Arabidopsis thaliana: one gene and its partner. The protein of the gene in region 1 interacts with the protein of each later gene in a pairwise test. Each region holds a gene or a part of one and is shown in the gene's direction. Other genes may lie near its edges. The genes, in order: ERD15 and PAB8.

Evidence for each region.
Region 2: the proteins of ERD15 (region 1) and PAB8 interact in a two-hybrid assay, tested with the Arabidopsis thaliana proteins (one large-scale study listed by BioGRID).

Annotation. Positions count from the first base shown.
Region 1 is NC_003071.7:17,264,816-17,275,242, forward strand, and holds ERD15 (dehydration-induced protein (ERD15)), read left to right. Parts: upstream 1-4,342; 5' UTR 4,343-4,587; exon of another isoform or gene 4,588-4,904; 5' UTR 4,905-4,920; coding exon 4,921-5,260; coding exon of another isoform or gene 5,261-5,283; exon of another isoform or gene 5,284-5,347; coding exon 5,348-5,499; 3' UTR 5,500-5,727; downstream 5,728-10,427. Other genes in the region: AT2G41417 (uncharacterized protein), read left to right, coding at 1-35; AT2G41415 (maternally expressed family protein), read right to left, coding at 1-43, 146-209; WIH2 (proline-rich family protein), read right to left, coding at 1,979-2,024, 2,663-2,867, 3,013-3,058; AT2G41440 (agamous-like MADS-box protein), read left to right, coding at 6,977-7,071, 7,301-7,352, 7,439-7,476, 7,553-7,649, 7,739-7,780, 8,050-8,123, 8,521-8,563, 8,642-8,721 and 2 more. UniProt on the Arabidopsis thaliana protein: Central component of stress responses that interacts with poly(A)-binding proteins. Negative regulator of abscisic acid (ABA) responses, including resistance to drought and freezing as well as stomatal closure regulation.
Region 2 is NC_003070.9:18,411,658-18,424,483, forward strand, and holds PAB8 (poly(A) binding protein 8), read left to right. Parts: upstream 1-4,817; 5' UTR 4,818-5,082; coding exon 5,083-5,377; intron 5,378-5,708; coding exon 5,709-5,827; intron 5,828-5,963; coding exon 5,964-6,620; intron 6,621-6,705; coding exon 6,706-6,783; intron 6,784-6,884; coding exon 6,885-6,974; intron 6,975-7,065; coding exon 7,066-7,200; intron 7,201-7,277; coding exon 7,278-7,472; intron 7,473-7,560; coding exon 7,561-7,764; intron 7,765-7,853; coding exon 7,854-8,096; 3' UTR 8,097-8,454; downstream 8,455-12,826. Other genes in the region: AT1G49750 (Leucine-rich repeat (LRR) family protein), read right to left, coding at 1-96, 215-1,122. UniProt on the Arabidopsis thaliana protein: Binds the poly(A) tail of mRNA. Appears to be an important mediator of the multiple roles of the poly(A) tail in mRNA biogenesis, stability and translation.

The DNA of each region.
Region 1 (10,427 bases):
CATACAGACATATCGATTTTGTTCGATCTTTCTAACCTCACACCTACACATTAATTTGAAACACACATCAACCCAACTCAACTTTGATGACTCTAAAACAAAGAGATATTTGGTAAATATTATATATAAGAGAACTTGTACATACATTGATGTAGAGAAAATAGAGAGAGCAACAGTATGCAGACGAGATATGCATGGGATGATTTCATGGTTTGAATGTCTTGTAGGATATGAATATGTGCTATTTAGTTATCTTTGTGAGTTGTTGTAACATCCAAAGCGTAGTCTACATATATATATATAGGAAATAGAGAAGCTTAAGTTAGGTGATACAGTTTTTAAGATAATATATTTACACATCTTTTTTTCCGATCACACTCTTTGAGATTTCCAGATATTTTCGTTAATATCTTGAACTTCTTTAGAGTAGTTTGAACATTTTGGCATTTTGCAAGCTAGATATTAGAGTTGGTCAACAGAGCACCTCTTACTTCAAGCTTCTAAGTAAACAACTCTCTTGTGAACATCATGAATTTAGTGATTCGGATCTATCAACATCAAATGATTCAGTCGCAAGTCGCAACAACATTAAAACAGATCTTAAGTATATTACTTGTAAACAAAGTAACCGTCCATTGCAACAATTTTTCCTCAAGACGCTCTCGCACGATTGTTAAACCTCAAGAAGGGTGCGATGTGACTTGTGCCCAATTTTTGTAATTAGGTTTACCCTCGTTGCCAAACAGATGTAAAAACCAGTGACATGCTCCAAAGAGCCAAAACACCATCGTAATTGGAAATCATCGTTGCTTTATTCTTCTAGTTGTTTCTAGATGAGTTTTAATGTCAAAGCGTCAAAGGCAGATTAAAGACCTTTCAAACCCTAACCAACCTAGACTTTTTCCTCAAGCAAAACTCGTAGAGCCCAAGAAACTTCAATGTCCAAAATCACTCTGAACCTAAAGGAACATAAACATTTTTATATACACATTCACAAAGACAAAGTTGTATGAGTTTCGATTTGATCTACAAAATTCAATGTCGGGTCTTCTTCAGTTCAATTTTTTCCCAACGGATTTCTATTATCCGAAGCCAAGTCGAGTAGAGTGTGTCGAGAAGACCAAGCCTTGTGTTCAATCAGTTTCGACGACATATGCATTTAAGAAAGAGAAGGCGATTGTTGTCGCAGAAAAGAACCAAAGTGGTTTGATTCTTTATGTCAACGACGAAACAAAGCGGTGTGGGTCGACTGATGCTTCTACGTTTCTTTAGTCTTAACTGTTTTGGATGTTATGTTGTTGGGATTTTGATAGATCTCTGCCATTGATACTTCTATAGTTGTAAATTTGTAATAGAATGAGCAGACGCATGATTTTGACGCAATATTGGTAATGAAATATACTTTTCTTTCTGTGCATGATTTCGTGATTAGTTTATTCCATGATAATAAAAGTGTACGAAATCCTTCTTATTGACAAAAGAACCATTACCTAACATATTATTCTCCCAGATTAAAACCATGACCTAACATCAATAATGGAAACCAACCCATGTGGATAGAAGACCATACATTTCGTGAAAATCCCAAGAGAACGAAATTATTTCTTTCAATGACGTTCAATATCAAACCTAATACTTGTCTATTGAAAGAATCAATAATAGATGGACGAAAACTGGATCATTGAGATGTGACCATACGAATTATGAACACAAAGATTTTAAGATCCAAGCAATAAACTATGGCATAGAATAGTGTCTCCCAACCAATTTACATTCCCATAATCAAATACAAACTAAGGCAGAACGTCGATAGACAATAGTTAAAATGTTATGAACCGAAGAACATTACACATAAAACGAAAGAGAATCATCGAGAGATTCATTTTTAATGCCCCACAAATCAATTAAGGTTTTTGTTTAACCAAAACCCTCTTACAAATAAATCCCGAAGCTTTATGCAGAGAGAGAGAGACTCCAATCAGAAGCAAGCATCCAAGAGACAGCAACAACACAGAGCAGCAAGACTGCAAAAGCAAAAACAGTGTTTACATTTCACAATCAGTATTAAAAACAAATCCAGTTGCTTTAAGACATGCAATGTAGTAAGCAGTAGCTAGATCATGCAAACAATCAAATCCTAAAAGATGCACATTCATCAAAAACAACATCCGATTCACACTGTTAAGTAAAGCCATCAAAGAACAACAATTATCCTGTATTCAGTGAAGGAACAGAGAACACAAAAAGGATCCATCTTGCTAAGCCAATTTACTTATCAAAACTTGTACAAGTATAGTTTCAAGTACTCATAAACAGTTAAACACTACCAAACCAATAACGACAAGAACACAATCACAATTCTAGTTTCTTTAAAGCATGCAATGTTGTAGTAACCAGTAGCTAGATCATGCAAACATGTTAAATCCTAAAAGATGCAAATTCATTAAACACAACAACAATTGTCCTGTGATCAGTGAATGAACAGAGATCACAAAAAGTCAACCTCTACAGAGGAATATTCTAGCTAAAACCACATGACCTTTTGTTCAAAGAATCTCTAGAAGAAATATTTAAAATAAGGAATATAGTCAAATTCAAACTATACACAAAATCTAATTAGTAAAAACAGATTAAATATAATGGAGTGTGTTTATTGACTAACCATCCTTCTAGAAAGCCAGGACTGCTCTGTTGTTGCTGATGCTGCGGTGGTGGAGGATATTGAGGCGCGTACGGTGGAGGATATCCTTGCTGAGGATAACCTTGTTGAGGATATCCCTGAGGTGGATAGCCTTGCTGAGGATATCCCTGAGGAGGATATCCTTGTGGTGGATAAGCATCTTTTGGATATCCCTCCGGTGGATAACCTATTGATACAATTTCAGCACAAACAAAATTCAGATCCGTCGTACAAAAACAATAATCAGTACCAAATTAAGCAGATCTAAGAAAAAATTACAAATCTAAAAACCGAAACTTCTAAAAGTAATCGAAAATAGAAGGAAAGAGGACCTTGAGGAGGAGGAACACCAACGGGAGGTTGATTGTACTGGCTCATTGTTTCCTTTGAAGAAAAAGTGTAAACTTCGTAGAGAAGAAGGAGATCACGAACCTTAGATCGAAAAAGTTTATAGAAGCGATAGAGAAGGACAAGGAAAAGAGGAGAGTGTTTTAAGTATAACGCGTTTTGCAGTTATTTGATTTTTCTTGTTTTTATCCATAACTTTAGGCTAGCGTTCAATACGATGAATTAAAATGAAACTACCAATAAAAAAGGTTAAATTAAAACAAGATTCACGCGGTTTCTGCCTTTTGCAGCGATATTATTTCTGTTTTTTTTTTGTTTAATAGAACTTAATTAATTGGAGAACAAAGATTATTGATTGGTTGTTTATTCTGTTGTTTTTTCTAATGTTCTGTATGAAATCTAGTGATGCTTAATTTCTTTTTGTATCTTACTTCAAATTTCCTTAGAATATAGAAATTCATTTTGTTTTATCGAGTCGATTGACTTAAGACACATTACAACATATGATAAATAGATGTACACAATAGATAAAGTAAAAGTGTCTACATTCTAAACCCCACTTACCTACTTCCAATGTATACTAAAAAAGAGGAGATATTCATGTACATATATACATTTTAAGGTTTCCAATCTCTTGAAAAGGCTTGCTGAATCACATTGTGAAAGTAGCAATGGCCTGGACTTCACTACAACATTTTCCTTCCCGCCAATTACACATCGTTCTCTTTGAGCTACTTCATCTACTAGTTTTGCCACTGCTATTCTAAAACTGACCGTAAGTGGTTGATGCAAAGAAGAAAATATGATCAGTCATTCCGTTTTGCAACATAACAATGAAGCAGAAAATTATGTATGTTCATTTCGATAATCCTAGTTGTTCGACACCTTAATGATCTTGGTGTCCTTGTATAGATTACCTTAGAATTTGGTTCTTCATTGTCATTGGTTAGCTTTTCAAACTTGATGTCCTATAAAAATGCACATCTCAGACATTACGTAAATCCTAGAATCTACTTTTGGTACTTACACGATACAATACCGAAAACGTAAGTACCAAAAGTAGATTCTAGGATTAGGCCCAAAATGATGATGTAAAACAAAATCATGAGTGGGTTAGGCCCATACGGTCATAAATGGGCTTATATTGGATTAGTTTCCTCCTACCTTATCCTCTTTCCGACCAAATTTAAGATATTTTATAGAAAGAATAATAATTTAACTTTTTAGTGTGAGTAGCCAACAGGATTGGAACGAAAAAGAAAGTCAATAAAAGCCAACAGTAACGCGTCTACACGTGGACGGTTGATTACTCAGAACCATGTTAGCTATGGGTCCAGACCTACCCACTTGTGTCTCACCTTTAATCCTGCCTCGACGTTACGAACCCCAGCTTCGTCACCGAACCTTACTTTATATATTAGTCCTTCTTCTTCTCATCTTCTCGCAACGTAGGTTCTGGTGAATGATCCTAATCCGTTTAGCTTTTAAAAAAATAAGAAGACATATTTATCAACTTGATCAACTTGAGCAAGTTGCAGCAGATATTTTCCTCGGCCAAGGTAAAGATCTGATGTTGTCTTCTTCTCTACTCGATCAATTTCTATATTTGAAGTTCGTGGATTTTGAAGGATTTGATTGGTTTCCATGGTATTAGATCTCTGTGATGGTTGTTGATCTATCTTAAAACTTGATTTATCTTCAGTTCTCTCGATTTCAAACTTGTACTTGTCCTACTTCAAGTGATCTAATCGGAAACTTATTGTTGCTATGTTTACTGATCGTACAGATCTATTGATCTAAGGATTAAGCTATGTTGTGATTGAGTTGTTAGATTTGAATTTGAATTTGAACTGAGCTTGTTTGTTTGTGTGTGCAGATCTAGAGTTTTGAGAATGGCGATGGTATCAGGAAGACGATCTACTCTAAACCCCGACGCACCTCTTTTTATTCCGGCAGCTGTACGACAAGTGGAAGATTTCTCACCGGAGTGGTGGCAATTGGTGACAACTTCGACTTGGTACCCTGATTACTGGATCAGTCAGCAGCAGCAAGGCGCGGATGGTTTCTATGACAACGGAGAGAATGAGAATGGTGGAGGTCATATCGATGTAGCTGATCTTCTTCCAGAATCATTTGATTTTGATGATATGGAAGATTTCTTTGACACTGATGCTGCTGAGTTTGATCAAGGATTCGATGGAAGAATGTATTACCAAGCACCTTCCGAATTTGGTAAGTCGGTTTCATTCCCCTGATACATAGAACCATCCAAGATCAGTAGATTTGTGGAGGCTAATTGTTGTTTATATATATCATCAGGCTTTGGAAAGAATGGTGAGATGGTTAAGAAATCAAGTGGAAACAGGAGCCCGAGATCGATTGTGGAACCAGCTAAGTATGCGGAAAAGCCAGCGAAATGGGGAAACCAGAGGGTTGCTGCTGCTCCGAGAAACATCCACCAGCCTCGCTGAAGAGATATGTTGTTAACTAGTCAGAGAAGTCAGAGCAGTTCGGTCTGTGTATCTTTAGCCACCACTGTACCTTTGTAATTTTTAGTATTTGCTTCCACAACAAAAATCTGTAACTTTGTATCTTTATGATGTTCATTCTCAAACTTGCTATCACAAAAATGTAAAAACATAAAAAAAAAAAAATGTAAACTTTGAAGAGAAATGAGAACTAGAGTTTATTTCCTACCTTTGTCTGAGCAATTCTATTCAATTACCAAAAGTCTTATCCTGCATCGGTGATGGCTACCGGAAGCAGTTGCATCAATGTTGCTTTGGCTTTACGACCAAAAGAAAGCCATCGCAGAGCTCAAATATAGAAGGTTTTCACGTCTCAGCTACTGAAAATGATCAGTTCTCTAAAGACTAGAACTCTACAAGGTTGGTGGCTAAGAAAAGGATGTCGATTACATCATAATGCTAATACACGCAAAAGGTCAGGAGTGTCGAACATGTTTTAACTTGCAAACATTGCCGACGACACCAAGTTCATTTCGAGCTCGGAATTGAGATACCGAAGACATGTCCAAATTTAAACCGGACTTAGTAAATTCCCCATCAAAAATGGGGAAAATGAGACTTTTCTTTCGTTTGATGCGAAAACTCTCGTCTTGACTCTTGAAGCTTTGTTTTTTTGACTCCACAAGTCGTCGATTTGACATTCGAACAAATGATTAGTCAGACGATCAGAAACGCTCCAAAACGCAGCGCTTTGGCTAGAACAGAGCTTTAAGACACCTATGTTAATACGAAAATACCCTCTGATAAACTTATTTATACACTCGACGTTTCGTTTTTTTTTCCAGTTTTCTGAAAAGTAAATTATTTGAAATCCCGCTCTGAATTATTACAATGGCGCCAAAGAGAGCATCGCCGATGCAGTCTTCTCTGTACTCTATCGGTAAGAACTCGGAAAGCCCTTGATTTTATTCAGAAAACTCCGATCAATCAAATGAATCTTCGTGTGTTTTGATTCGATTTCTCCAGGTGATTACGAGGTTGCAGTGGATGGTAAGAATTTCACCTGTGAATCCGGACCCAAAAGCATTCAAATCAAATTTCCCAGAAACTACACAGTCAAAATCTCAGGTTCGTCTAGAATTTGGGTTCTTGCGGTTCTGTTTTTTTTCCACTCTAATTTGGTTGTTAGTCATTTTGGGCTCTATGATTTGATTATCTAATTCAATTTCATCTATTGATGTTATGCGGCTACTAGCAAAATGTGTAACAAACTCAATGTCCATAATTTTTCTTTTTGTGGTCAAACAACTCAATTTCCCTAAATTACTTTAGGAAATTTTCCATAATATTGGACCAAAAAAACTCCGTCTGTACTTTTTTTTTTTTTTTGGCAAAAAACTCCGTCTATACATGTAACAACAATCCTCGCAATTTCCAAAGTGGAAAAAAAGAAAAATTGGGTTTCGGTCGATCCGATTCGATGGGGAGAGAGGGCGATCAGATGAAGAGGAAGCGAAGAGATCTAACGAACAAGACGAGAGGGCCCTGCAATTTCTGCGAATTCTCCAGCAGCAGGTACTTGGCTCACAGATGGCAAACAAGGGTTCGATTTTCTAGGGTTTTCATTGTTGATTTAGGTCTTTGAAGTAATTTAGGATATGGGAACCATCACAAAATCTGCTTATTAGGTTTATTGATTAGCTATTTACTCGGCTTAGTTGGATCTCGGAATCTGAATCTGAATCTGAGGATATGATTGAATCAGACAATAAACTTAAACCTAAACCCCTTGGCCTTTTTCCAGATATGGATGCAGCTCTGAAGATAAGCTGCAGGAGCAAGACAATGAAGCAGTGGTATGTAATTACTTATGTACTCATATATCTATCTCTTTGTATGTTATACCTGTGTTTTTGCTTACATTCAACTTCTCTCCTTGCAGCTGCGGAAAGAAGTCGAGAGATTACGGCTTTTGATCAAGTATGCCTGCGTGCGTTTCCCACTTTCTTGTTCTGCATATTCATTTTGGTTGATGAGTTTTCTTTCATGATTCCAGGAGAATGACTGGGAAGGAAGATATTGTCAGCTTCACCGAGCTGCTAGCTCTTCAAAGTCACCTTATGGATGTCCGATCCATTGTGCTGGAGCAAAAGGTGAAATAGGGGGAAATATTACTTGACTTTTTTTTTTTGTTTCCGTGTCGTTATTATCAAGAATTTTCTTTAACTATTGGCTATTGCAGAAGGAGGTAGAGCTGGAAGAAGCTGAAAGGCCGCACAAACAGGTAAAGTATTCTAATTCTTAATTTAGCTGTCTTCTTTTTTTTTGCCCTGTATCCAAATTTTTTTTGTTGAGGAAAGTCAGTTTTACCCTTTCCAGTCTAAAATCTCTCACAAGGCCATTGCTTTTGCCTCTCCTTTTTTTCTTCTTAAAGTTCCTTGTTGACCTTGCAAGTTCTTAAGCTTTCTCACCTTTTACTTCTTTCTTTCTTTTTTCTGTCTTCTCGGGTAATTACGTATCTGACATATATCACAATCCCCTTCGATTTTGCAGAAGAAGGAAGCAGAGCATGATGCTGACGGTATGAGGAGAGGGGTTTTGGTTCCTTGCAAATTCTCTGCCAGCAGGTAATCTCTCTGCTAAAGAATTGAGTTATTTTTTGTTGGGTTTGGTCACAACAATTTGTGTGTCTGTGCAAATGGGAACCATTTTTTTTCTAGGGTTTCTTTCTGTCGAAGTGAGTGTATATGAAACCTGCCCTTTTTTTTTTTTTTTATGAGCTATATAAACCAAAATCAGTTGTAGTTTCGTCCTTATTAGCTACTATTGGACTCAACAGTGGGAGTTGAATCCTTCATCTCTCAGAATCTGAGGGAGATCACTTGTTTTTTTTTGTTCTTCTTTTCAAAGTTGTAGCTGTCTTGGTGCAGCATATCACGTTATGATGTCTTGCTTTTTGATCATCGAAACCAATTGTGTAAAAGGAAAGGCTGACTTGACTTGTTCTGCATATATATAATACAGCTTGGGAGAAAGACAGGAAGATCCAAATGGTGAAGCACCACTGGTGCGCGTATATTCTCTTCTCTTCCTTATCTCTTTTCTTTCCTCAGACTGTGTCTTTAAAATCCTCATTTTCTTGCAGCTGCAAATGCAGAGGGAATTCGAGCAACGCAGCTCTGAATCCTTGCAGAGCGAGTTCGACAAATTATGGCTTTTTAACGAGTAATAACTCAATACCATTTCCCACTTCTTGCTCTGCAGAAGTCTCTGTTTCTTTTTTTCTTTTCTTTCATTTTGGGTTTTCTTTCATCTCACAGGAGAATGAATGGTAGAGAGCTCGAGGGTATGACTTCCTTCGACCTGTCCATACTTCACATTCAGATATTACGAGCTCTACGGGCTTTGATTGACCAAAAGTTGGGACCAAGACAAGAACATAGGGCATGGCAGCGCGGAGAGGTAAAAATTTATCTATCAGTGTATATTATATGTTTTTAGTAACTAGTGTATCTGAATCGTTTCTTCTATTCACACATTTTCTTAGCTTGTTTGCCACACCGACAAGGAATCAGTCTCTGGGTTAGCTGAGCCCGGGAGATGTTCGTCGGATAATGACAAGGATGCTGACTCTTCCTTGCAATGTAGACTTCTTCTCGTTTCAAGAAAGCTCAGAAGATTCCATAATTCTTATCAGCGGAAGAGCATGCCGGAGACCAGGTCGGTCTGCCAGAGTCGAGTGACTTCCGATTGACCTTATCTGCCCTGGTTGCTGCTTTCTCTGTTTCTATGTTGACATATCAACTTGCCACTTTATTTGTCTTAGTCTTGAAGTCTACGCATCTTGGATTGTAAACTTAGAAATACCAATTAGAGTTTAATTTATTACCAAGGTAAGATGTTGTTTTAAGACTCGAGGGGTTTCATATCTCACCATGTTAGGACTTGTGGGTTTCATAGAGCATCAATGAGCTTCTTTTATTTGTAAGAGATTCTCTAACACATGACGATCGATTACTCTATAAACTAGATAAATTAATCCGTATGTTATTCTAGTTAATAAGGGATTACGTTTCTTTTTACCGCATTTCTGATTAATAAAAACCATTGTTTTCAAGCTTGACCCAGATCATTCGATCCGACCAGTTAACCTACGACCCAAACATTTTTCCGATTTAGTTTTAGTGCTAATATCCGACAAATTCAAAAAAAAAAAAAAAATCATAAAAATTCACCATTGATCCGCAACCCCAATGAACCGGTTGAACCATCTAAACTTATTCAGTTATCTTTAGAAAAAATTTCAGTTTTTAAACTCATTTGATGTTTTTTTTTTTGGTGAAGACTTCACAATATCACCTTAAGAGAATGAATGGAATTATGAGAGAGACAACCAAAATTATTTGTTTGGATTCGCGATGTTTTCTTAGTTTATTTTTGTCATTGGTGATTTTTTACTATATTTGTTATGGTTTTAAACTTATAGTTAGAATTAAAAAATTTAATCACTTTATTATTATTGTTTGATTTCATGTTTTTGTTAAACATTATATGATTATTTGTTGTTTTTCTATTTATAGAAGCTATATAATCTTTATAAATATTAAGTATATTAAATAAATTATAATCAATTGATATGTGGTCCAGCAAGGTTGATTATGTGAATCAGAAAATAATCTGGTTTACCGTCACGCTCGGATTTAAAAACATTGATAAAAATACATTATATATATATATATCTTATTATATAATGTACGGTTTTAAAAGTTACTAACTCACCAAATTATGACACGTGACAGTTTTATCAATTTAAGATTTTGACATGTGTTAGAGTTTTTTTTTTTACTTTTTTCCTTAAATAAAATAAAGGAAACTAAAAAAAAAACATATTTACAATTATTAATTTATATAGTTAATTTTTAATTTTCTTA
Region 2 (12,826 bases), on another chromosome or scaffold:
TGGTACGGTAAGCATCCGGTTAACTTGTTATTCAGGAAAAGGACTTCTTGTAGGTACTTGATGTTGCCTATGCTTTCGGGAATTGGACCCGTGAACCTAAGTCACATCACAACAAATATTAAAAATAATAATCTAGCTACTCAATAATCACACATTCAACCACACTCTCTCTATTCTTGCACCTCTGACTAGATCAACTAGTTGAGAAACTAACCTGTTGTTGGCGAAGGTGAGGTAAAGAGCAGTGATGGATCCAAGATTGAGTGGAAGCTTCTGAACAAGATTGTTGTTGTTGATGAACAAGACGTCGAGGTCGAGATTAAAGACCTGAGGAGGAACAGAGCCTGAGAAAGAATTGAACCTGAGATCAAGAAACGTGAGATTGTTTCCTTTCAAGACACTAGTTGGGAAATCTCCTGTGAGTTTGTTGTTGCTTAGATCGAGCTCGTATAAGAATTTCAAATTGCTGAAATCAGGCACAGAGCCTGTGAAACCGTTGGAGTTTGCGTGGAAGATGGTGACTTCTTCTAACTTGTCGAGGAAGTTATCTAACTTGAGGATCTTGCCTATCTTGCCTCTCAAGTTTAACCCATTAAACTGGACGCTCGCGAGTGCGAGATGCTTTGTTTTCGGGAAAATGGCGCATTTGAGTCCGAGGTATTTGTTGCAAATGTCGGGGCCTTCCCAAGACTTAAGTTTATCATCTGCGACTAGATCCTTAAATCTTTGGAGAACTGGATAGACTTTCTTTAATAATGAGCTCGCAAACGGTAGATCAGGTGTTGGCGGCGATGGCTGGGGTTTAGGCGGTGCAGGCGGCGGAAGCTGTGGAGGAGGTGGAAGCTGTGGAGGAGGAGGGCTTGGAGGAGGAGAGGGTGGAGGAGGGCATGGAGGGGGAGAAGGTGGAGGAGGGCATGGAGGAGGAGGAGGGGGAGGAGGGCAATCTGCAGGTTCTGGTTCTGGTTCCGGTGAAGGTGACGGTGGAGGATTGTTGTCGTTACCACCACCGATAATGATTTCTAAGGATTTTCTGTCGTTAATGTGGTTGTTTCCGGTGGTTGAAGTGAAGTGGAGATTTGAAAGTGAAAGAATGAGAAGAAGAATTGAGAGAATTGAAGCCATTGAGTTGATGAGATTTTGTGGTGAGTTTTGAGGATAAGTATGGGGACTATGTATATAAGGAGATTTTAGAGCATAGAAATAGAGAAGACTAAGAAGCTTGTGAAGTCAATGGACATTGTCTTTTGGGTAGTGGGAGCTACAATAATTATTGATATTTTGGGTAGTAGACTATGTAAGTTTTTACATAGGTATGTTTAGTTATTGATATCAAACTGAGATGTAATTTTTTTTTTGCTATATAAAAATTTCATAGTATGAGTATCTAAATTTATGAGTAGTATAACTTTGAACTAGGGAATCATATGAAAGCTAGATAGTTGAAAGTTAAACTAGTCATAAACTTATAGTCATACTATGAACTTTTATGAGTAGTATGAATTTTAAAAATGAAATGGAGAAAGGAATAATGAAATGTAGCATTTTGAGCTGTTTTTTATAGTAAAACATATTTCATAGTAAAATATATGAATTTAATCATCTTTGAGTTGTTTATTGAGTCCAATAAGTACATTTACCTGGCCCAACCTTTACTTTTTATAGAGAAATACTTTAAAATAACATGAAAAAATTTATTATGGACAATTATAACACAAACTTCACAAATTTCCAAAATTAGCATTAGTAATTTTACATAATAACTAATTTATTTTTATCTAAATATATAAAATTAATTATGATTTTAAATCACAAATCGTGTGAATTATCAATCAAATGCTTATATTAGTCTTTTTAATATTAATTTCATGTTATTTTTGGAAGTTTGAAGATTGTGTGCTAAATTTGATAAGAAAACTTATTTTTGTTATTTACGAGAGTTGTCTATTTTTTTGTTGCCGACAAAACCTCCTAATAAATAAATACTAATATATAATATAACATATTTAGAAAAGAGAATTGAACGGAGCAAAAGTTTATCAATAATGATTATCAGTGTGGAGTTTTTGGCCATTTACGGATGATTTACCTTTTTGTGAGAACGTTCATTAGAGAACATCAGTGATTTTTCAAGGATAGTTGGGGATGGGTGTATTATTTTGTAACAACAAACAAGAAAGAGCATCTCTAATGGTGAAATATTCACCAAGTGTCTCTTATCAATATTATAATATTATTTAAATATAATTTTGTTATTTAACTAAATTTTAAGTGATAAATAAAAATGAACAAATCATATTAAGACATTATACTAAGATATGTGGTATTTGGGATTTTAAATAAGATTTTATATACTTTAAAATAAGAACCATTCTTATTCTCTTGCCTTTTCTATTATTATTTTTGATTAATTAATATTAAAAACTCACCATTGAAGATGCTCTAAAACATAGTCAACTTGGTTTTAAAAAAAGAAACTAAAAAAAAAGATAAATGTTTATCTGTTGTTGCTTGTTGTTTGATACAACATGTCTCCTCTGATATGAGTTACTTTTAATATGCAGGAACAAGAGGATTGGTAGAACGTTATATGAAACAAGAGGTATGAATATTATATTTTCACTTTTCTCACTCACTACTTTTCTCGTATTTCATTTATTGTTTTTTTTGTATGACTAGAAAGTCGGAATTCCAAATTAATAACATGGTTTTTTCAAATGATTTGACTATACCGTAAAGCAACTCAAGTTTCAACCATTTGTTCGAACTTGTTCTCAAAACTAGTTTCACCCCGAAAAATAATGGTTTGTAAAGATATGGGCAGAGAAAGAAAATTGAACTTGGAAAGAAATTGGATTAGACATCACTTAAAAATAGTAAATTTGTGCTAAAAGAAATTTACTGAAAACATTGCTTAACTTTCTTATTTACATAACATCCTAGCATTCTTCAACTAATGATAACTATCACTTTATAGAGAAAGAAAATAGACAACATTATCACAACATTGACATAACCTCATAGGGTCACGGCTTCACTGCTTTCACGGCTTCAAATGGATTTTAAAGCCTTTGTAGTATTTTTTTTGCCAATCAGACTTTTTTCACTTTATTTTTTTTGGAAGTTTTTAAAGCTTTTTTTTTTCTTTTTCCTTTATTTTTCTTTTTGAAAGTCACGTAAATGAGGCTTTTAAAACAAATTAAAAGCTTTTCGTTTTCTTCTCTAAACATAATTAAAAGTTCTCTACAAATTACATATTTCTTTTTTCAAAACGTTTTTGATTAATAATTATTATCAAGTTACTAATTTTTTTTTAAGATCCATTTCACTAATAATAATTTTATTTTTTATCATCAACACTAATAAAGTTAGATGTCATTTCATTATCATTAATAAATTTGTTGATTTTATGATAAGTCAAAAAAATCATTCAAAACAGTTTTGAGAAAAAAATTTAGCCATAAGAATCATTCAAGATGAGTATTTTAATTATTAATGTGTTTGGATATTAAGTGTTTGGATATTAAGTGCATGAAACAATAAATATAAATAATGCAATGTTTGGTCTTTTAAAAATGAATGAATAATATATATTTTTAAAAATCAGTAATAAAGTTTTATTGTTACTAATAAAAAATAACAGTCACAGCTTCTACAACTTTGTTTTACCAATCTGATTTTAACAGCCAAAGTCTTTACAGCTAAATTCTTTGTACCTCAAATTTTTAAAGTCAAACCTTCTAAAGCCAAAAATAACGGTCGTTACCAATCTGTTAAAAAAATTTACCTTCTGAATTAGCATAAACTGATTTCGGTATACCATGTTTCAATTTCTTCTGACTGAAAATAGAAGAGATGATATTGTTATTACACATTTCACGCTGAAGAGATACTAAAAACAGTTAGAAAGGCAAAAAGAGTTATGTTCGATCGACTAATTTTAAATTATGCAAGATTGGGCCCAATACAGGCTAGAATTTCGGTCCATAATTTTCCAAGACATCAAGAAACTGGTTCACAAGATTTGTTGGCCCATTTTTAATTATCTACTATCTTTAGCCTCTATTATCCTTGACTGAGGTATGAAGTTGCAACATAACGATTTCGAAACTTCTTAAAACTTTTCTCATAACGCAAGCTAGAAAAGGTTTTTTAAAAAGTCCCCCATGTTTTTAGTTTCATGCATTACATCACATATTCACATGTATGTGGAGAGATAGATAACCAAATTGTTAGATAACTGCATGTTATTTAAAATTTTATGTGTTCTTTTAGAAAAAGAGCACCATTTTATATTTTTTGCAAATTAATCAAAAACTTTACAACTTCTTAGCTATTTTCATAAATTTGCATGGTCATTCAATGGTATTTACTAATAATAATTAAATATGTCTGAACGAACATATTTTTTTTTGACAGTTACTACAGCTATTTCATATTTTATCCTTTTTATACAAAAATCACTTCACTTTCTAATTTACCTTGCAGAAAATTTACTACAGTACATACTAATAATTTTAACAAATTTTCTTAAATAAAACATCACTACACTTACACTGATTCTTGTTTTTCTAATCTCATTAGTAATTACTCCTCATTAGTCTGAATACGGTTATATATTTTTGAGCACAAATACTTTTGCCCAATAAAATAAAATAAAATGGTAAGATATTTCCCAACGCATATTTTATACAAGTGTGTGACCCACAACAAGACACACTACAGTGTAAATCCAACGGCTGAGATTTCTCAAATTACCATCAAAGCTTTTAGGGTTTGGTGAAACCTTCCATATATAAACACTGAAACCTCCAAGTTGTCTTTCCTCTTTGCAGTTTTTTTTCATTTGAGCTTCTCTCTGATAAGGTCACTTCCTCTGACCCTTTTATCTAAGCTCAACGCTGCAACTCTCGCCGTCGGTTACTTCCCCATTTTCCTTCCTTCTTCCGATTCAAAGACTCAATTTTTATTCTCCGGCGTTGAGGATTCATCTCCTAAAAATCTCTGCTTTATCTTTTGATTTGAGCTGATTTGGAGAGGAGAAGAAGATAGATAGATAGGTAATTCGGATTGATATCTCGAAAAATGGCTCAGATTCAGCATCAGGGTCAAAATGCCAATGGTGGTGTAGCTGTTCCCGGTGCTGCTGCGGCTGAAGCTGCGGCGGCTGCGGCTGGAGCTGCGGCGGCGGCTGCCGGAGCTGCGCAGCAAGGGACGACGTCTTTATATGTCGGTGATCTGGATGCGACCGTGACGGATTCACAGCTGTTTGAGGCGTTTACCCAAGCGGGTCAGGTGGTTTCTGTCCGTGTCTGCAGAGACATGACGACTCGGAGATCTCTAGGCTATGGCTACGTTAACTATGCAACTCCTCAAGATGGTAACTTTCTTAAGGCTTATCTGATTTGGTAACTTAGTCGTTGTAGCTCATCTGAATTTGGGGTATGGACTGATGTGTTATATCAAATGCTAATCTAAATTTGGGAGCTTTCTATAAAAAAGGTGAAAGCTTTCAGGTTAATTTGGAAAGTGGTTACATTTGGTAACATTGTGGGCTTTCAGGGTATTTGGCTGTTAGGGAGGATAGTTTTCTTTTGAGGTCATAGAGTTAGAGTTATGACCTCAATGTTATGAGTAGACTCAATGTTATTCTTCTTACAGAAATGAATGATTTGAGTTATGTTGATGTTAATATTTCTGATTGGTGACAGCTTCCAGGGCACTGAATGAGCTGAATTTCATGGCTCTTAATGGAAGGGCTATAAGAGTTATGTATTCTGTTCGTGATCCAAGTCTCCGTAAGAGCGGAGTTGGTAATATATTTATTAAGGTACATATATTAAATCTCTTTTTCCTATTGTCCAAGTTTGAACTTCTATGCAGAGATGGAAAGAAACCTTGGCTTGTTTAATATCCTATCTCAAAGTTTGTTTGTTTATTGACATGGTTTATTATCTGTGTCTCAGAATCTTGACAAATCAATTGATCACAAAGCACTTCACGAGACATTTTCAGCCTTTGGTCCCATTCTATCTTGCAAAGTGGCCGTTGATCCCTCTGGTCAGTCGAAAGGCTATGGGTTTGTGCAGTACGACACTGATGAAGCAGCTCAGGGAGCCATTGATAAACTGAATGGAATGCTTCTTAACGATAAGCAAGTTTATGTTGGACCCTTTGTTCACAAGCTGCAGAGAGATCCTTCGGGTGAGAAAGTTAAGTTCACTAATGTTTATGTCAAAAATCTCTCCGAGTCCTTGAGTGATGAAGAGCTTAACAAAGTTTTTGGAGAGTTCGGAGTGACTACTAGTTGTGTTATCATGAGAGATGGTGAAGGAAAGTCTAAAGGCTTTGGATTTGTCAATTTTGAGAATTCTGATGATGCAGCCAGAGCTGTTGACGCTCTAAATGGAAAGACCTTTGACGACAAGGAGTGGTTTGTTGGGAAGGCCCAAAAGAAGTCCGAGAGGGAAACTGAACTCAAACAAAAGTTTGAGCAAAGTTTGAAGGAGGCTGCAGACAAGTCTCAGGGGTCGAACTTATATGTTAAGAACTTGGATGAGAGCGTCACAGATGATAAGCTCAGAGAACATTTTGCTCCCTTTGGAACTATTACATCATGCAAGGTCCGTGACTGATACAATAAAAAGCGCTGCTTGTTACTATCTTCAGCAGATTTGCATTAAAATGTATTACATTTGAACGTGACAGGTGATGCGTGACCCCAGTGGAGTGAGTAGAGGATCTGGATTTGTCGCATTTTCAACTCCTGAGGAAGCAACTAGAGCTGTAAGTGACTAGAATATAAAGAAGACATGTCAAATTTTGGTGATCTCCTATTCTCTGGAAGGATCTTGATGCTTAACACTGTCTTCTTTTCAATGTTTCAGATTACAGAGATGAATGGAAAAATGATCGTTACCAAACCTCTATATGTTGCTCTTGCGCAGCGGAAAGAAGACCGCAAAGCTAGGTTACAGGTCTGGTTAATTTACCCATGTTGTTATCCTTGAAAAGGATTATCCTAATCCCATGCTTATCGTGCTTAATTTGACCTCTCTGGCATTTTAGGCTCAATTTTCACAGATGAGGCCGGTCAATATGCCACCTGCGGTTGGTCCTAGGATGCAAATGTATCCACCAGGTGGTCCACCAATGGGTCAGCAACTCTTCTATGGTCAAGGGCCTCCTGCTATGATTCCTCAGGTAAAGCTCAAAGCTTTAAGCATAAAACATTTGAGACCAATCTTTATAACTTTCTTCTCCAACTGGGTATCGAACAGCCTGGATTCGGATATCAACAACAGCTTGTACCGGGTATGAGACCTGGTGGGTCTCCAATGCCAAACTTCTTCATGCCTATGATGCAACAAGGCCAGCAACAGCAACAGCAGCAACAGCAGCAGCAGCGACCTGGTGGTGGTAGAAGAGGAGCTCTTCCACAACCACAACAACCTTCTCCTATGATGCAGCAGCAGGTTAAGTTTTGCTTTAGGCCCAAGACTTTCTCCACATGTTTAAAATCGATAGCATGCTTACATTTTGCATCAATCTGTTTCTCTACAGATGCATCCAAGAGGTCGAATGTATCGGTATCCTCAGCGAGATGTAAACACAATGCCTGGTCCTACTCAAAACATGCTTTCTGTTCCATATGACGTCTCAAGTGGTGGTGGTGTGCATCATCGTGACTCGCCTACTTCTCAACCTGTTCCTATTGTAGCTTTGGCTACACGGCTTGCGAATGCAGCTCCAGAGCAACAGAGAACGGTAAAGTCAAATGATTTGTTTCTAACAGCTCGGAAACAACTAAGAAAAATGTGTCTTTCTTAAACCTGTTATGTTTCTTCGTTATACAGATGCTTGGTGAGAATCTATACCCGCTTGTGGAGCAGCTGGAGCCAGAATCCGCAGCTAAAGTCACGGGAATGCTTCTTGAAATGGACCAAACCGAAGTACTTCACTTGCTGGAATCACCAGAGGCACTTAAAGCTAAAGTTACAGAAGCAATGGATGTTCTGAGGAGTGTAGCACAGCAGCAAGCGGGTGGTGCAGCTGATCAGTTAGCTTCTCTGTCTCTTGGAGACAACATCGTACCTTGAGAGTTCTAAGTTATATCTGAAAGAGCTCAGTTTATATACACTGTAAAAGTGTTTATTTTGTTCTTTTGGAGAATCAGAAACAGAGTTGTTCTTGAAAGTTTTGGATTTTTGAGTTTTTGTTTTGGGCGAGAGTTTTAACATTTTCCTTCTGTGTTTTTGATTTTCTTAATACTTTGGGAAGTTTTGTATCGTTACTCTCACCTTTTTTTACCTACACTGCTCATTTGATAGGGTATTGTTTGGCTTTTGTCTAGAGTTTCGACTTTTGGGTATAAAATTTGGTTTAAAAGCTTCGAATGATCAATGTAACAATAAGTTTACAGGGCTTTTCTAGGAAATTATTCTTGCTTCCGAAAACAGACTGGGAGAAATCAAACGGGCCTTGGAATAACCTTATCGACTTAGTTACTGAATTGGCCTTGGCCTGACCATAACAACCTATATCTCATCACGAAACTTGGCCTTTGCTTGGTAAAGTTTAAGCTCTTGGTTTTGATGAGATAAGGTCTCTAGCCGAAAGTGTTACATAATTCATAAGACCCATGCATGTAGTAATATTTGCATTCACATACTTGACAATTGACATACTCGAGTTTTGTTCCATATTCTTCATCGTGTTCTTTGATGGCTGTTTCTATGAGAATTTGAGCAGCTCTTCATTGCTCTGTTTATCATCTATAGATGGTTTCCAGTCAAAGTTAACAACAGATAACACGTAGTTAAAACTATCCTAGTTCACATCAAAACCCTCGCTATCTTCAAATTGTTTGTAAAAAAGCTTTCGTTGTCTCCTACATTCAAGAAGACCAAACCTGGTGGCAGAGGATCAATCTCCTTTGCATCTTGGGAATCGTTGGAAACAGCCGTATAGTCGAAACTATTAACATCTCCTTTCCTCTATTGATTTGAATTGAGTTAGAATTGCAATTGTCTAACATACACTAGAAATTCGATAAATTAATAAACTCTTTAAACTAATTAATTTTGCCAGTCCTAAATTGGACCAATATAAAAATTAACTAAAATCATAAAATATATATATATATATATATTTTTAAATCTCTATGTAAAAATATGGTCTCAATAATATCATAAATCTTAAGCATACATTCTAAAATAATCTAATATAAAATAAGTCTAATGTTGTTTGTCTTTTCTAAAAGTTCGAATCTCGTTGAAGTTCATCTCTAATTTTCTTATTACATCAAAAACTCTTGGTGTTGTCTTCTCGATCTACATCCAAAAATTGTGAAAAATTGTAGATGCGATAATTGCTTCCTTACGTGTCACTATTTCCAAAAATTCTACATTATCGTCTTCAACTTCTTTACCAACATTACAAACAAAAGCTATAATTTCTTTTAAACTATAAACTTCTAAACATGCTTTATTTTCACCCGAATAATCGAGTAGGATATTGATATCAATTCTATTTCGATAACCAAAATTGTTAATCATAACTTCAAATTCTTGAATGTGATTCTCAAAATCTAAAGAAAAATAATTTTTTTTTTAACATAATGAAATATGCAAACAACAAAGTATAAAAAAATTGAAGTAAAAAAAAAATTAAGAAATAATATAATATTATATTTTGCGTAAATATTTCTATAAATTAACAGATGAATTATTCCAACGTTATTAATTTATGGAGTTTTTACTGTATATGATATCATCTTATTACTTATACGGGCCTAAATGCTTTTCATGTTATCCATTTTAGCAGAAGAGCAGTTGAAGTCATGTATGGCAAAACAAAACCTTTGTATATATGAACTGATCGTCCCAATTAATATCATTATCATTTTGACATTCTGCTACCAGTATTTAGAAACGAGCAAATTTTTTTTTTCTTTTTTTTTTTCAAAGAAACAAGTAACGTTTAGAACAAAATTTTTTTCCCAAACTAATTATATGATGCATATAGTTTTGTTCAAATATTTTAATGTTTTTGTACTATAGATTTATTTTTGGTAAATGGTAACATCAGTTGATAAATAAAAAGATAAATATTATTACAAGTAAAAAACATTGTCTTCAAAATCTTAGAAGAAAACTGAGCAACAGTGGTTGTACAAATAAAAAAAATCAGCAAAATTGATGATGTTCCTTTTTTTTTCGTTAAGGTGTTATTTATTCTATTTTCTCTTAATATCTTTATACATAATATATGTATTTATAAAATAATATAAATAAATATTGTATCTTTATAAAATACATACATGCATATTTCCTCAACATAAAAAGAACATGGAAGGCTCTAATGGAAAAAAGAAATGGGGAAATTACTTATAATAGCTTTTAATTTTTACAATTTAGCAAAACTTAATCTTCATGGATTTTTTCCCCATTTCCATTGCTAAAATCCAAAATTAGACTCAATTGTGGTGTGTGAATGATTGCCACGTTACCCAACTCTAAAATTCCCAGTTTTGTCTTATGTATGTAATAAAATATTAAAAATCCAGTCTTTCATTAGGTAAGGAATAAGTTCAAAAACTCGTAATTGAATATGAACGGATTCAGACAATTTAATTTAATTTTAAAAGTTTGTTTTTACGAGAAAAAGAAAGAAGAAAGAGACACTTCAAATCTCTGGCGATCAATGATTACATGCACTGAAAACCATAAAGATAACGCTCACTTTTACCACCCTATACTTATTAGACAGTTAAGATAATCACAAGTTAATTAAGGGTCATAATTACAACTTTTGTTCTTTTTAAAATTGGAGTAACAACTTCTCTGATAAAGAACTTATATTGTTCAAACGAGAGATCACATAAAATATTAATTAGTAAAGATACTAAAATTTGTGTTACGTTGTAACGAATTTTAAAATTTGGAATATTCTTTGTTTTTAAATTATTCTTCATTTCAGATACAGAGTTCTTTTTATAAGATACATACATATTTCTTATTATAAGACACATACATATTTTCGAAAAGAAAAAAAAAGACATACAGATTTCATTGAATTTAAATGTTATATACAGATTTCAGTAAAAACCGTTTTTTCCGATGAAAATAAATATTAATAGGGTTAACAAAAAAATTAGTAATATATGCAATATATATTTTTTAAACGTTTTTTTGTAAAGAAACAATTCATATATAAAAGTTGAATAATACAACTGTTATTCTAATTGCCTAAACTGTTCAATATTCTTTTTTGTTTTTTACTGTGTTACATAAATGATTCGAACGTTGAGAACTAAATACGCTAGAGACAAATCAGGGTGTGGTGGCATAATACGAAAATCTTAATCAATTAGGTTCAATTTTGTTTATATGCGTAAGAAGTATTTGTACGTTATTTTTTTTTTTCAAAATAGTTCTCTTGGACGTTAATACACTTAATTTTTGAGAGCTCTCATGAATTTCACAGTTAAGTGTATTATAGAGAGTAACAACGAAATTTTTATAAAAAACAAAAAAAATTGTAGTACACTTTGACAAAGTTGATTAGCTTTCTAAAACAACAAACCTTCCATTACCAAGAGTAGTACTGTTGATAGATCGGTAGTAGACGGAATGGTTTGGTACTACAAATCATATCTTAACAAAAAGTTCAAATTACACTTATTCAACACTCGAATAATTAAATTACAGATATTAATTAGTTTGTTAAGTAAGAATTCTTACATGAATGTATCACTACAAAACTGAATAATATACATAAAAACTAGATTTACTCACGAGTATATCTTTAAACTACATGATTTATAGTTACCCGTTCAACATGATTTTTAACGATGTTCAGATGTAGTATTATCACATTTTAAAAATCCTTTGAGACCTTTATATATATTTTAAGAAAATCATTTTGCATCTTGTAAAATTTGGTGAGAAAAATATGTTTTAATTATGAAAATTAATCATCAATTTTGTTTAAAAAGAGTCATTTTGAAAAATGATATCAGGTCTAAATTTGTTGAATTCACAATGGTCTTAAAATTGAAATAACGAAGAAAAAAATTCATTAAAACATTTACAGGTTATTGGTGGAAATTTCATGATGTTATATGAAAAGATATGAATTCATTTTAATCTAAGGTATAATAAAGAGTTTTGAAATTCACACAATAAATTCTTAAAAATAATATTAAATTTCAAATCTTATTGATTATAAAACTTAGAAACTCACTTTAAATCCATAATTGAATAACACCCTATTAACTACGAATGGAAATATAATAATGCAGAAAGTTTGACAGAAGAAAATAACGAGTTTATCACGTTTTAGAGAATATTAGTACATTCTATAATTATGAAGTAGTACAATTTTATTTTGACTTATTATGGTTATATTTACTATATAGTGAATTACTTACCTACCTATTTTCAATAATATACATTATATAAAGTTGAATTTTCATAGAAAGATAAGATCGCATTAAATTAGAGACTAATTATCTTAATTATTTACCTATTTAAAAGAGATATTTAAATGAAAATAGAGAAAACGCGTATGAATTTACGACCACTCGTTTAATTACTTATCAACAATGAAATTTTGGTCTTATAAACAATTCTTAAATATTATATTTAAGAAGAAAAAAATCCCCTAAGAACTTCATGAAAGAAAGAAAGAAAAGTAACCAAATACCCTTTTTGATTTTGATGTCTTAGTAACGGCCTTGTCTTATGATTGTATTTTGGGGTTTTGCTGTGAGCTTACTTAGCTCTTTATAAATCTCTATCTTCTCCTATTTCTTTTTCACCATCTT